2 linked regions of the Styela clava genome follow. The protein of the gene in region 1 interacts with the protein of each later gene in a pairwise test. Links are inferred from orthologs where the notes say so. Each region holds a gene or a part of one and is shown on either strand. Other genes may lie near its edges.

Region 1 (8,222 bases):
TGATCAATTATATCTTGGAAACCAGTTTCAGGATGACAACCGAGACGTTCCTGCTGCATTTTATTCAAGAATCCTTTCAAGACTGATGAAGCTTTCACTGACAGAGAACGAGGAATGCGAATCACTTTTTCAAGAATTACCTGTAACATGAAACAACGAACAGTGTTATTTGTCTTTTCGTAGTCCCTCATTAATTGCGGTGGAAATATTGTATGCCTGTTTTTTTCAATTTAGTTTTTTATCCTTTCATGCAGGGCTAAGGAGGCGGAGCTGGCCTGAAGTCGTGCCTGCGCATTTCAATGGAGCTGAAATCAGGCTTACCAATATAGATGGAGCCGTAGCTAACAGAAATTTTAGTTGACATACCACAAAGTGCCTGTAATTGTAAACATTTTACTAAGCAATATCTGGATTCTGGGGATGCATTATATTATATACGGGCGAAAGAGCTCAGAAATGAAGCATAGACATACATTAGGATTGTAATAACTTTCACTCGCATATTATAGTATGAGAAAATCTGACCTGGAACAAATAATCTTCAGTGTTTTGATCAGGGTTATCTGCCATACCAACAATATCAAATGGACTTCTTCCTGCCATCATTTCAAACATGAGTACTCCAAGTGCCCACCAATCAACCGAGAATGAATAGTCTTCTCCCCGAAGGATCTCGGGAGCAATGTAATTTGGAGTACCACAAAAGGTAGACGTCTTGTCACCTATAAAAAGTATACACTTAAAAATCCTGTTAAACATGATTTGTAGACAAGCAAGAATAAATAGTGAGAGAAATTATCGTAAATGTACCTTTCAAAATTCCTTCTTTACACATGCCATAATCTGTCAGTTTTATGTGACCTTCGCTATCAAGAAGAACATTATCAAGTTTTAGATCTCTATAAATAATGCCTTTTTCGTGCAAGAAATGTAATGCAAGCACTATTTCTGCAGCATAGAAACGAGCATGATCTTCTGGAAGTTTTCTCTGAAATATAAAAATGTTTTATAAACATTCAAGTGAAGCCTATCAGCTATCATTTATAAATGAGTCGCTCGTTTAAATCTTATTTCGAGTTTTGGAAACTTATTCAAATTGCCATCCTGTGTGTTTGAAACCGCATGATTGTTCTTTTCTTGTCATTGTTGTAAACTGCTTGTATGAGAAAGTCTAATTTTAGTCGGACGAATCCTTACAGAAATACATTTGTGTGCACCGGGACTCTTGAATCGCGTATAGCTGGGTGTTTATTTCGAGCAGTGGCAGAATTCAAAATAAATTATCCAGTCTTATCAATTCCATGGCACATAATGCTAGGTTACACCAATCATTAGGAAGCAAAGATATGTTAAATAACTTGCAAAGATACATCCAAGATTAATAAATTGAGTATTTATTTATTATCAGTTAGAAAGAAAGATCTAGTGTGGCTTTAGAACAGATTTCATCTACAGTCTGATAAAAACCATGAAACACCATCAAAAATCAATGTCTTTTAGAACTAAATTCAACTGCATGATGCATAGAAGTAAAAGAAAACAATAACACCACTTTGAACAAACTTAACAATATTGTACTACTTTTGATATATTAAATAAACACGTTAACGAGAATATCAGTCAGAGACCGAAGACTTATCGCTTGAAAGTTAGGGGATCCCCCAAAACAGCGCTCTTACTCCATAGTGACACCTTGTGTCTCATCACTAAATAATTAATTAAACTCGCTAATTATACCACATAATTCATCCAAAATCAATAGGATTCTGGTACGACATATGATGAATGCACATGCAAAATCTGGAGCAGATTCAATCTCGCTTTCATGAGATATCGCGTGCATGTAACAGACAGACAAATACCTATCAACATACTTACCGATTAAAATCGATAAGTAATAACTGACCTGTCTTTGCATGTGAAACATAAGGTCCCCTCCATTCACATATTCGATAACAAAAAATAGGCGATCAGCTGTTTGAAAACATGAATGCAATCCAACAAGAAATGGGTGGTTTGAAGCAGTTTCAAAAACATGTTTTTCAGTTTGTACCTGAAAAAATAGAGAATAAGAAATTTTTCAAAAAATAGGCTTGATAAAAATCACTGGTAAATGAGAATTGAACATCTGAATGTTATAGTAACAGGGCCAATGAGTTGGTTTGAAATGGCTCCAGCTACAGCAACGAAGCCTGATCTTTTTTTACCTCAGAGCTGGGTTACATACAGGACAGCTCGTTTTTTTGATGTGACCATGAACCCTCACCATGAACATCAGCCCAAATGCAGTTTCGCTGCAGTGGGACTCAAAAATTTGTATGGTAGATTAAAATTTGAAATTTCGAATTTTAAACTTCCAATTATACAACTTTAACTGAAAAGTTTCAAAATTATGAAAACAAATATTGAAAAAAATCATAACCAAAAAACATAAAAAAAAGAAGAAAATTAAAAGTATGGAACAAGAATTAGATGGTTGGGAGCTGGAGCTGCTAGAAGTTTTAGTTGTTTGGTGTTGTTAAGGTAAGCTTGGCTCTAGCTCCAACAAAATGTAATGGCTCCATCGCTGGTTAGTCGAATATTCGAAACAGTTAGAAGAGCTGAACCTGGAACCCTACTTAGTTATATCAATAAACACATTAATGAAAATTTGAACATAAAATATTGAACATTTACCCAGTCGACATCTTCTTCATCAGTGACAAGCTCTTTCTTTATAACTTTCATCGCATAAAGTTTTTTACTTTTCTTCAAACTCACAAGAAGTACTTTAGCATAACTTCCTCGACCAATAACTCTCAACATATCAAAATCTCTCAAACCAAAGCCAGACGTTGTCCTCGATGTCGCATGCACTGCCTCACCACCTGTACCAGTGGCAGGATTGTAATGAACCCTTTGAGCCTCCCCCTCTTGAATATGCACAGAACCAGGATCATCAGTAGGATTGGAAATCGGAATTCGTGGACGACGTCCTTTTAATTTCTTCAACCTACGCTTTAGTTTGTACCATCTTCTTGCCCCACGACGATAAATTTTATGTTCGCCCACACATTGAACCCCGGGCTCAGGAGGTATTCCTTGAAATATATGAAGAAACAGAGTATCATCCTCATTTAGCTCATACAGTCTTAATGCTTCATCCAACTCCAGTTGAGATGTTACTGTACACAGATCACCTTCCTCGTCTAACCATTTCAAAGTGAAAAGTTGAGCATCTGAGAATCCACAATTAACTCGGATTTGCACCCATAATTCATCCATTCGTATTTGTGGATCGAGGTTCAGGTTCAAAATTTGATTTTGATACGCTAATTTTGAACGTACCATTAAATGTGAGGTATCAACAGACATGGTCAAGTTTTGAATGTAATTGATATACAATGCTAATTACAATTTTCGGATTTTAAATTCATACTAAAACATAAAATATGAATAATGAACTCTAATAGGATAGCCTACCGGTCTGCCGGTACATTTAAAGCTATCCCGGCTGTCTTCATTGACCATATTGTCATCGAGAATTCATGCGCATAGCCTATTCTCTGTTCAAATATCGGGTTCAGTTCGAAAAATAGCAAGGAATAGACGTTACCGATGCCAGTACAAATAATTCGAATTTAGACTAATTAGTATTGGTTTTACATGCGATACCGTACGTTTTCTAACAATGTTAGGGGGAAACAACGGAACAAACGCATTCACCCTCAGTACAGCAGTAAGTAGGCTAGCTCTGCGCTACACAGAAACAACAGTAACCAGAACATGTTCTTGTATTATGCTGGATGGCTGAACGCCAACTTTTGGCTAATTTGTCGGGACAAGACGCTAAAAAACGGCCTAAAGCGGGACGTATGTGTATATTATATATACGCTTTGGGTAAGCCTACTGACCTGTCTGCCTGTGTACGTTAACGTACCGGTCCAGGAAGAGTTAATTTTGTCCGACCTGATCCAAATTTATCGTGAGAACTGGAGACACAAAAAGCCAGACACGGAGGATTTGTCATAATATATTGATATAGCACTATAGCACTTCCAAGTTCCAGTGGGTGTGGCCTATAACCTACATCTTGCCGACCCCCTCTCTGAGATAGGAATCTCAATGAAATAAACATATATTTCGCATTCCCCTAGCTCCCTCTACCGATACCTCTATTAGCAATTGTTCATAACCAACCCATATATGTTTTCGTTTTGCTGACTTAGACTTTGAAACTACTTAAATTGAACATTCTAGAATCAAAACATGTTAATGCTTATATTAAAAGCTACCGATAGTCACTGGGTCAAAATTAATAAAATAATTTATGGTGTCATTCTGCCCGTACGACACCGCGATTGGTAGCCTTCTCACCGAAACAGAAGCACAAGTATAACAATTAAATATAGATAGGATAGGATTTACATATTTATCCCGGGGGAGAGGTAAGCCGATAAGACGGCTTATCCATATGGCGAACCACGGCCTCTCGTCCGGTTACCATTCAAAGTCGGGTATGGGATTAGTTATATTGCTTGTTTTCGGAAGCATGTACTTGGTGGTGGAGGAAGCCGTAACCGACCAGCGGTTACGTGAACCACCCAACGACGGCGAGGAGTCCAGCAATCCTCTCGCACATAACCATCCTTGCATGGAATTCGAACCTGCGAACCCACGCAGAGTAATTAGAGGTGCGGTGGCGAGCGTATTCCTAACGCTTAGCCCGTTGAGCCACACCGCCGCGCATTACATCACATTAGCATCTGTCTATTTGCACTTGGAACATTTGTAATGTCACTTCGTAACCTTCATGTTTTTCAGACATAGACATTTTCACCCGCGCTCATTCGCACCCATACGGTCGCCGTTTGGACCCAGGGACATATGCTGATATAAGATCTAAATTGCAATGTTATAGAATCAGGATGTCTATCTATCCCTCAAAACAACAATACTTGAGAGTGAAAATGGCCGTGTGCGCAAATGCACACAAGTGCTAATTCATAGATTTGTGACCTTTTTACGACGCTCACTCACGACTTTCGCTCAGACGGCTTCCTCCGCCACCAAGTCCATGAAACTGAAAACAAATAACTAATTCCATACCTGACTTGGAATGGTAACCTGACGAGAGGCCGTCGTTCGCCATATGGTTTAGTCGTCTTAGCGGATTTCCTCTCCCCCGGGATAAATATGTAAATCCTATCCTATCCTACCATGGCCTGTACGTATAATATGATAGTATTTTGAGATATATAGGAAAGTAGAACAGTTTTCCTCTGTGTTAAATGTTAGTATGTCGTACAGAATTCCTTTCAAATATTAGTGATGGTGGGCTACGGTATTTGGATAATGATATAAGATTAAACTTGACGTTTGATATTCAAAATCGCTGCCTAATTGATATTCACTTTGGTCGTTGCCAAATTGACTATAAACATGGATTCCATACCGTCCTTAATCCTTATTTCTAAGGTTTGTCCTTATTTTTGGCTTATTTTTAGCTTGCGTCCCTATTTTTGGCTCGCGTGTCCTTATTTTGTCTTATTTGGACTTTATAAAGGAAGCTTTGTGTTGTTTGTCTTATCGCCAAAGCTTTATTGCGGAATCATAAAAGCAAATAATCATATTTGGAACACAAAGCAGCAAGGCACAGATAGGCATGAAGCATTGTTAGTGTGGCGATCTTTAGGTTTTGTCGTGGTGGTGGATATTTTAGCCTAAATTTAAAAATGAGCAAACGTAAGAACGTTTTTCGTGAATACGGGAAAGAATTCAAAGTTAAACGAAGCTTGAAGAGTGAGTGCTTCGCATACTGTGACGTCTGTATTTGTAACATTAACCTGGAGCCCATAGGAAAGCCAGCTATTTCTGCTCACAATGCAGAAATTTTTCCAGTCGTCCTTATTTTGGGTTCCAGATCGATGGAATCCCTGACTATAAATCAAGTGAGAACATGCATTGGTAACGTTATGAGCGATTGCGCGACGACACATCCGCCATTTTGTGTCCAGAGATTTATCGTTGTATGATCCTAACCTAACCAAGAGATTTAAACCTGCGATCGTTAAACATTTGATTAAAAGAAAACGATGCTCAAAAATTCGGACCAAACTTTCGCAGCGGCGAAACGAATGAACATTTTCCCGAAAAACTAATTTTCCGCAGATGTTTCTCAGATAACTCGGCTCGGGCGATATGGTCAGCAGATACGGAGTTAGGATTAAAGTTATCCAACTTCACTCGATAAATCAACACCCAATAAGACCAAAAATATAAAACAAAGAGATAAACATTTTATTATAAAAAATCCTGATGTAAGTATTGCTACTTGCACAGAACTTATTTTAACAAACTGGCAGAACTACAAACAAATTACACTACAGAAACATGCAACTATTAGTAAGGTAGGCTACATGTCATATTATTAAAATATGCGTATCGCAAATTTTCAACAAGGTGTTTATTGCCCAAATATATTAAAAAAATAAACTACATGCATGGAATGAAGGATAACGGCATATATCAAGGTTACAAGAAAATCTAATAATCTGGAGTGTATAACATAATATATTATTTATTTGACTTGATCTCCTCTTTTGAGTGAATATTTATTTGTCAGAAAAGTAACTGGCGAACATGTATATATATATTATGAAAGGCATTAATATTGGCGCGAAATATAGAATTTCTTTTTTTGGATGGGTTATAGCATAAATGGGTTGTTAAGTAGATGAATGTGATGTTATCATATATTGCTATTTCGTAGATTGTCTCAGAACTTGAAAGTCACCCGTTCACCCTTCAGCTTCAACGCCCACGTGAATGAAGATGCGTTAAAAATCTCTATATGTTTTTATTCGTAAATTTCCACAACACACAGAATATAAATCTTATAACATTTATCCAGACTAGCTTAGAATGGTTTACATCGTCTTCTCTTCTCCCTATCGAAAGATATCGGAGTCGTATTTATACGTTGATCATAAATCCAATTAAATGCTGTAAACGTGAGCTCGTGATTCACGTTATAAACAGAAATTCCTATTATCTCAACAAGGGTAATTAGGTACATCGTACGGATGGGAACTTAGATATAATTATTTCAATCAGTGCCAAAGGTCTTGAGAATATAGATTTTAATTTGATAATGACTGGATGGAACCTGTTATGTTCTTAAACCTGGTGTAATTTGATTCCTACGAAAGTCTTTGTTCGAATTTTGGGAAAAATTAACTTTGTTTTCATATTTTTAACATGAAATGGGGTACATTTGGGGGTTAGTTGCTATATTATCTCCCCATCTTACTAACTGGAAGTTTAAAGATTTGGCACCTCTAATAAATTGAAAATATATAGAAAAATACAATACACAATGCTAAAATTAATGATATATATAGGTCAAAAAAATATTTACATGTATATGATCTACAATGAGACAACACATTGAAGTAAAGAAAAGTTTATAGAAAGGGTAAAGGTTGTAAAGTAGAATTACAGAAGGATGGCGTATTTTTATTTTGAAAATTTTGGTTTGGACGGTTAAAACATATTTTCAATTCAATGTATTTCGCTAAGTTAAAATGCTTATACTCGCTTTATCGCATTGTTACGATTTTGTAGACCTAGTTGGTCAATATATGCTTGTCCCATGTCGGGAAGAAAAAAACGCATTTTTAAGTTTATGCCATCTCAGGGCTTTTTTGAAAAAATAACGCTTTTGGATACAATTTTTGTTTAACGAGCTTATTATTTAACCGTTCTATATGACGGCTTTGTAAATAATTAAAAGTATGACTCGCTCGAATCTACTTTTAGAGAGCATTTTAATAATAACGAAATCTATTTAATCGAAAAAGAATGCTAACCACAAATATTCAATAATATAAATCTCTTTAAAGGTATTTGAAATTAGAATATTCAAAGTTTTACCATTAATTAATTTATAAAAATTGAAAGCCGAATGAAACGCCATGTATATATAAGAAAAAGAAGTACTTTACCTTAGTATTAGTGGAAGAATGAAAAATGTCTGTCTCAATGAGGAGAAAAACCTGCAAATCACGAAACAAATTGTAGATTAACATGTTCCTGATCTGTATATCCATTAGGCATTAGGTATGCGCGACAATTTCTCTATTGTTCGGAATAGAGCGCGTGAATTACCGTAAAACAGTCCATAGAGTTCATTGTTTTCAACAGTTCGTTTTTTGATTAGGTTTTTCACCTCGAACATATA
Region 2 (8,008 bases), on another chromosome or scaffold:
CTTATGTCAAAATTTAGATATACACATGATTTGCCTGGAATATATATCAATTTGTATATTCAAAGAACTGTAATCAGTTTGGCATTGGCCACCAACATATATCTATAGTTGGTTTACACAAACTTTGAGAAATGTCCAAGAAATCGCGAGCACAATAATGAATTGAGCAAAATTTTGACATACCATGACAGATCTGTCCGTAAATTTGGTAAAAATTGTTATTGTCTAATCCACAATTCTTATACAACCTCTGCACATGATTTGGTACTCCCGTAGTGTGTACCAAGTTATGACTAGGCCATGATTTTATTCAGATTTTCCTTCTTTTAGTTCTATTACGAGTTTGGGGACTGTCTGTGCTAGCCAAGCGAATATTCCCCCTGCCCATAGGTTTCAGTCCCTGGATGTAAAGTAGGCCAACAAAATTAGTTACCCCCATATTGGTACACATACTTCTGGAATCTGGAGCACCCATTACTTTATAAAAGATGGATGTCATTTAGAAAACTCAATTAAGAGACCTGATCACATGCTTATACAACACACATGTGCAACTATCATGTGAAACTTGCTTATAAAGGTCACACAGAATTATAATAATGTAATACTATTAAATCACTACGCAATCCTATTTACTTAATGCAATTTTCCAATTTGTTTGAAAAATAAAATGCTAATGACTGAGGTAGATAACAAACGGCTAATTAGGTTTGAATTACTTTTTTTTGTAATCACTAATAATGATAAATAATTTTTAGCTAATGTGGAATTATACATTTTACCACTCTCAATAATCTTGCATTAATGATGATTCATGTTGAGGGAGTCAATATTTAGAAATATACTTCAAATTTGACATGAAAGCTTTTTTTCCAAAATATACCGGTACTTGAAATTTGATTATGAAATTTTTTGTCTCAACGCTTAATCTAAATTTTAATCAATTAATCTTTAGCCAAACTATTATTATAATTTCCATGATTAAAATGGAATAAAAGAAGAAAAACCGAATGAAACAACATAACAAAATTATGAAAGGTAATTATAACCAAAAAATTTGATATTTAATTTTGAAGTACAATTTTGACAACAACAGATCTGGATACTCCCATAGTATGTGTACCAGGTTGGGGTTAGGCTATAATTTTATTCCGATTTTTCTTTTATTAGTTCGATTACGAGTTCGGGGACGGTTTGTGTTAGCCAAGTGAATATACCCCTTACCATAAGTTTCAGTCCCTTTACACAACTTGATGTAAAGTAGGCGAACAAAATTAGTTACCTCCATATTGGTACACATACTTCTGGAGCGCCAGATCTGAGCAGCAAATCTAGCATGAGCAGGGGTTGAAATAGAGCTCATAAACCGAGATTTGAGGAACTCCTATTTGCTTAAATTGAGTGATATATTTTGATAATTAAGTAAAATTGGTAGAATAAAATATTGGCCAAAACGTCTATAGAGGAATAACAACACTTTGAATAGATAATTCAGCACCTACAAAACAATATAATAAAGTGGAATTCCATATTTGTCAAGATAATTGAAAAAAAAACTACAAATAATTTAAAGAGAAAAAACGCACTCTTATGGATTTATCAACTGTGGAATGGGAAGCAACAAAGATTTAAAAGAGTCCACACACGACGCTACACGATTGTATCAATTCTTCAAAATCATTTCGTATTGTCCATTATTTACTATTTATTGGGTTTCTGTGGGACCAACTACTCATCTTCCTCCTAATCCTAATGCTGTAGTAAGAGTGAAGACAACTTCAAATTGTAATATTTGGTTGAGGATAATCGCGAATACTCAGTTTATGCAATTATTTTCAAGCTGATAATACATCTTGATGATTTTTTAAGTCAACCTCAAATGTTCAATCACACAACGCATGATACAATCTGCATCCTAATTGCGAGCACACTGGGCTTATAGTTAATAATTTGCTGGGAATGTACCGTGAGAAAAACTATTTTTCAGTGAAATTCGAATTTTTGAAAAAGCCAATCAATTAATTTTTATGATTGATCAAAAATTAGGTTTTTTGTAATTATTCCCACACATATATGTAACCAATAAATTACTGGTATAAGTAAGTGAATCCGTGCTACCTATGGATTATAATCATAATAAACATAATAAAATGGAAAAATTGCAAAAAGCCGTTTTGGCAAAACATTTACCCAAAATAACATGGGATGATACGGCGATGCAAATACCTACAATGTCAGATCATTTTGAGTGTTAATTTGGCTTCTACGTTTAGCCTTTACTGAGTCTCTACCATGTTTGTGCCCAACTCTCGGCGACTTTTTTGGAGACGGTTGCGTAGAATTTGAAGCTTCAGTTTTATTAGGTACAGATTGAGGAGAAGAGTGCTCTTTGCCTTGTTGGGTCGTATTTATTGAATAAATCTTTTCGTTTTGATGTCGTGCACTGTTGCTTTTTGGTTTTTGGTCATGCTTCGATGCAGGAGTGATATCTTTTACAACATCCTGATCATCGTCGGATTCTTCTTCATGCCTATGTCGTGGAATATCGTCGTAAGAACGAGCCCGAGAAGGCGGCTTTATCCCTGCGACTGCATTTCTCATACTTGCAGGCTTGACGGTGATAATCAAATTAGAACTATTCGCCACCATCATGTCTGTGACCTGATCTAACGTTTTCCCCATCACTTCGATGCTGTTTACTTCTAAGACTTCATCATTGACTGCTAATAAACCAGTCATTTCTGCCAGACCACCTTGTACTAATCTAGATATAAAAATTCCAGGCACTTTTTCAAGTCCGTTATTCGTCATACGTAAGCTCACACCGTCGCGGATATAAAACCCTAATGGCTTGTCTGAACCATGCTTATGAAGCCTCACCCGACGTAAGGTTTCTGGTAGAATATCCACATCGATGATTGCGGAAACCGGACGAAAATCTTCTGGATAACTTATAATTGGTGGTAATTTTTTTCCTTTCTTTTTTCTAACAGTTGATTGGCCAAAACCATTTTGTAAGTTAAAAGTCTCTCGTTTGTGAATATACAGTCTTAGCAAAGTATTTGACGTTTTTTTCGCTTTTGCAAAATTTTCATCGTTATTTATTGGCAACAAATCACCATGAAGTGGGTCGGTGTAAGTCACAATAAAATCGACGTGATGAATTTGATGAAGTGATTCGATTCTTTGATGTAAATCTTGAAATTTGTCTTGTTCTGGATCAAGATGAAATCGTCGAAATTCAGCTAGAAATTTGCTTTTTACTTGAATTAAATTCCCAGCTGGAGAAGACCCAGCAGAGCCTAAGGATGATTTATCCATTTCATTAATTATTAGTTTAACTTTGTACACAAAAATGTCACAACATGTTGGTAGATGTCTGAAACACAATTAAACATAAAATTTACCAAGTGAGAACCAGTAGACTGTACACAAGATAAAAAAAAGAGTCCACTTTAATAAAATTTGATGTCATCCTAACCCAGGGAATAACGATTTAACCGTTGACTGAAACTCAATTGGGTATAAACTTGGCCACAACTTAATAAACATACGAAATAATAGTATAATTTGATATCTGAATCAAAGCTACTAATCATAAAATTTAAGTTAGAAGCAGATTAGACAACTGCTTGAATATTGCGAAACAAAAATATGATATAAAAATACAGCCAAATTTTTTTAGTCATTCTCAAAGTCTGTCTCGCCCAGAACGCTATAGACGGTGACCGTACATTTGAACCCATGTACATTTGAACCCATGCGTATATCCACGGGTTCAATCTATATGCGGGTGCTAAAACCCATGGGTTAGGGTTAGTATGGGTTTAACTATCCGTGAAACAAAAAAAATTTCATAGGTGAAATAGCATACAGGTGCAATTGTCATGGGTTCAAATGTACGTGGGTTCAAATGTAATGGAACCCTATAGACTACCCTATTTGGCATGAGTCATAACTGCTCAGTTGAATATTGGGTAGGTTTGATTTCAACTAAACGAATTGCCTTCCGCGCCAAACCAACTTTTTTTAGAAAAACATTACTTCAGTACTTCGTCCTTTTATTAATTAATTCAGTATTTTTACAACTTTTAACGTTGTTATTGAATATGCACATAAATATTGAATGTTATCGTGTTATTGCGTAAAATCCTAAATTATTTTTTATATTTTTTGCTGGCTAAAGACTTAGCGAACATGTTTGGTTATTTTTCTTTTCAAAATTCACAAAAGGTCATTATTATCATGGTTTACAGTCTCAAACTATAACCAGCGTACATCAGCAGCCTATCAGTACAGCACTACAGCAGTATAAAAATCTTGGGTCTCTTGTAGTTTTGTACCTATATCGTTTTTCTAGTGGACGTAGCGTAACTATTTTTTGATATGTCAATCCTAACCCCCATCTGACTACGTCGTCTAAAATTACGTCACCACGACGTCACAATCTTATCATAAAGCTTGCAGAATAGACGTACAATCGCCCGAAATGGCATCAACGCCGCTGATAAAAAGCTGACTAACATCATCATTCTCTCTCATATTGGGATCATGGTCGCGACAAGAAAACGAGAGAAATAGCTGTTCGATTTCGGATGCTCGTCTGCCGTTCTTAGATGACTGTTCGTATAATTCATTAATTTTTGGATGGTGTAGTTGATGGGTTAGGATTGACACGTGCAAAATTTGTTATATTACGCCCATTATAAGTACGTTAGGTACGAAACTAGCTGAGACCCAAAATCTTAATCTCAGACAGAAAGTTGAAATATCTAACTTCGGGTCTGGCGAAATGAACGACATGACTCCTTAAACAGTTAAATAACATCAAAAAATGGGATTGCTTGAAACTTGCTGCTGAAAAACTGCTTGAATAACGTCAAACAGAAATGTGATATGAGATTTTTATGATTTCTAAAAAAAATCTGTCTGGCACAAAATGAAATTTTTGACAGACGTGCTTCGTTAAAATCAAACCCACTCAATTTTCAAATACTGAACTAAGCACAGAACAGCAGAAGCAGGTACCGGTATGTTCCAATGCCAAATTCAGAAATAGGGTTAGCCGCTAGAGACCGACTTTCTGACTTTTGATACCGTTCTGGTATTTGGAATAAAATGAAAATTTGGGCATTATTTTCACATCATACTTTTGTTTGACGTTATTTGGGAGTTACGGTGTGTCCTTCTTCATATACATACCCCTAGTTACCGGTACGGTGTGTTCTTCTTTCAGTCTTTAGATCCCAACTAACAACTTCAACTAACGAAGAGCAAAGAGAGAATTCGAGAGATATTTCCGAACAGTTTTCTCTATATCCTGATATCTGTATATAGACCTATCCCTATCCTTATACAGGGTACATGAAACTAAAAAAATCGCACCAAAAAAGCGGGACCCGAGACGTATTGTTACCCCAAAAATGCAGCCCACTGAGTAAACCCCACCTTTTCGCACATCGCCATCTAGTGAAAATGTGGGTGTGTCATGCTCCGGTGACTAAAGAGTGGTGTATTGAATATCATCTCGAATGTGATGACGAAAAAGAAAGAAAAGCCTATTTTCATGATTATAATGTGATAAGACTGTTCAAAGTATGATGCATTCATACAAAGACTTTGGTAACGGTTGTCTATGCGAAATACCATACCTGCATACGGTGACAATATCGATATCGAATATTTATGATGACGGTTGAGATAAAACTACAACTACTAGTATTGAAAAGAAGAAAAATAGGCACTTTTCATATTTATTCTATCGTGTCCCAGTTTTATTTCAGTTTTGTTCCGAAAAGTAACACCAGCGCTTATTTTCGGTTGATGTCTCATATTTTCAGTTATCAAAAACAAAATTACAACATAGAAAGTTACGAGATTTTCAAATATACAAAATATGAAAACCGAAATACATTTACCCATAAATACCAAGTTTTTATTCGGAATAGCTGCAAACCATATTTTATGAATTATTTAAAACGTGAAGGAGAGATTTAACTGCTATCGACTTATATGCATGATTTTATTTTCGGGGTAGATCTTATTTTCGGGGAAACACGTATATATAAAGGGAGGAAAGTTTATTTTATGGGGAAAATGCCGGGAGTACAACTGAGTCGTTATATCTACTATATTATTAATAAAAGTTCTCGTATTTTGGAACATACTGAAAATTGAAGCTCTGTAGGACGGGCGTCTCTGCGGTTCAGAAATTTGTGAGAAATTCTTCCACGGGAGGGAGATAAATATTCGTTTTCAAAACGAAGAAAATCGCCAACTCGGGTAATTCTAGATTTAAATCACAAAATTCCAAAAACGTTGAAACGCTATATATAACGAATTACCACTGACAATTTGCCGTTTGGAATACCATTGCAGGTGGAATAAATTTCTTTGAATATCAAGTTGTTAGATACATTTTTTTTGAATTAAATACCAGGCCGTCCAGTTATTTCTCTACCATTACCTCCTCACTTGGATGGTCCCCGCACTCGTAATATAACTAAAATTGGAATGAAATTATGGCCTAACCCTAACTTGGTACATATTCTATGTTCCGATGTCCGCCATCTTGGTTCACATACTGGAGCGCCATTTTTTATCACTAATATCAAAATATCTACCTAGATCTCCCCCTAGATTTGGAATCCCTACCCCAACCCCCTAAAATGAAAATCTGGGGGAGCATACTGGTTACGTCGAGTGAGGCTTCACACCACACACCTTTCTGCATTCAGAGTTTTATATCCGCGATGGCGTGGGCGAATGAGTTTACGATACGTTAAATAACAGACTTGAAAAAAGGCTTGGAATTTTTATATCTGGATTCGTACAAGGTGGCCTCGCAGAAATTTGGTACATATGATTTAAATAAATAATATTTAATCATCTTTTGTCCAATCCTCCGCTAAAAAGTAAGATCATGTTCTCTCATTATCTTAATCACGGACAATCGACTCGTAAAAAATGTAAAGTTATTGCACAGGACCTCCTGAAGTATACGCACCAAGATGGCGCACAACCTGAACTCACGACACGGTTATGCGACATCTTGGCGCGCATACTTCAGGAGTACCCAATTATCGCTAGCCGGTGGGAATGGAAATATCCAGTCAAAGGACCATAGAACCTATTATCCTATCATATAGGCGGGTGAATCGTGTTATTATGTGAAGTCGTGATTGCCACGTTTGGCTGTCAATCTAGACACCTGTTGGTCATTATAGCGAGGAAGTTCCATGTAATAGCTTACACCCTCTACTTCTAGCAAGTCTGTGCGGAAACCTGAGAATATGGTCTGTTGCAAAATTTCTAAGGACACAACACGGTAACAGGAAATAAGGATATTCGACAACCGCCATATTTTTCTGTGTACACAAGAGAAGATAACTTTCAATTGCTTCAGCTATCTGTATCCAATATGAACCAAATTCCCAAAATCAATTGTCGCTTTCAATTTGTTTTTCCACGTACCCGAAAGTAAATAAAGGAGGGTGAAATGGATAAATCTATATGAAACTTATGCGTGTTTACTTTAAGTGGTATTTAAAACAACAACTACAGAACACACCAGTCTCCTCTCAATCAAACACAACCAAATACTATATGAAGTAACATTTACACGATAAAAAGTTTATTGCGGTTAAAAATGTTCAACCTTTGAATTCATTACCGCAAATTACTCTGAATAATATAAGTGATTTCATGTTTGTGTTCACAAATCTCTTATTCACAGGCTGCTCGAACTTGATGCTATTCTTCATTAAGCCTTTTTCTCTGCAAGAAAAAAAAATAGTTTTAGTTACAACAGCATATAAAATTTCCTTGCTATGATCAGTTTAGCTTTGACATATGACGAATTAAGCATAAAAGTAAAGCCTTCTTACTCAATTTTATTAGATGTTTTATACTTTCACTAAACAGTGAATTAAATAAATGTAGACAATAGGCTTTTGAGAAAAGTCCTTTTAGCGGGGTTGCATAGATCCAATATCTCATACCGCAAGTG

The links.
Region 2: the proteins of protein kinase C iota type-like (region 1) and partitioning defective 6 homolog beta-like interact in a two-hybrid assay, tested with the Drosophila melanogaster proteins (2 studies listed by BioGRID). The link is inferred for Styela clava from reciprocal best matches to the Drosophila melanogaster genes aPKC and par-6.

Annotation. Positions count from the first base shown.
Region 1 is NC_135257.1:16,668,215-16,676,436, forward strand, and holds the start of protein kinase C iota type-like, read right to left. Parts: upstream 3,433-8,222; 5' UTR 3,355-3,432; coding exon 2,677-3,354; intron 2,054-2,676; coding exon 1,907-2,053; intron 989-1,906; coding exon 811-988; intron 723-810; coding exon 526-722; intron 141-525; coding exon 1-140. UniProt on the Drosophila melanogaster protein: Serine/threonine protein kinase which is required for apico-basal cell polarity in the germ line as well as in epithelial and neural precursor cells, for epithelial planar cell polarity and for cell proliferation.
Region 2 is NC_135250.1:4,770,368-4,778,375, reverse strand, and holds the start of partitioning defective 6 homolog beta-like, read right to left. Parts: upstream 3,398-8,008; 5' UTR 3,322-3,397; coding exon 2,227-3,321; 3' UTR 1-2,226.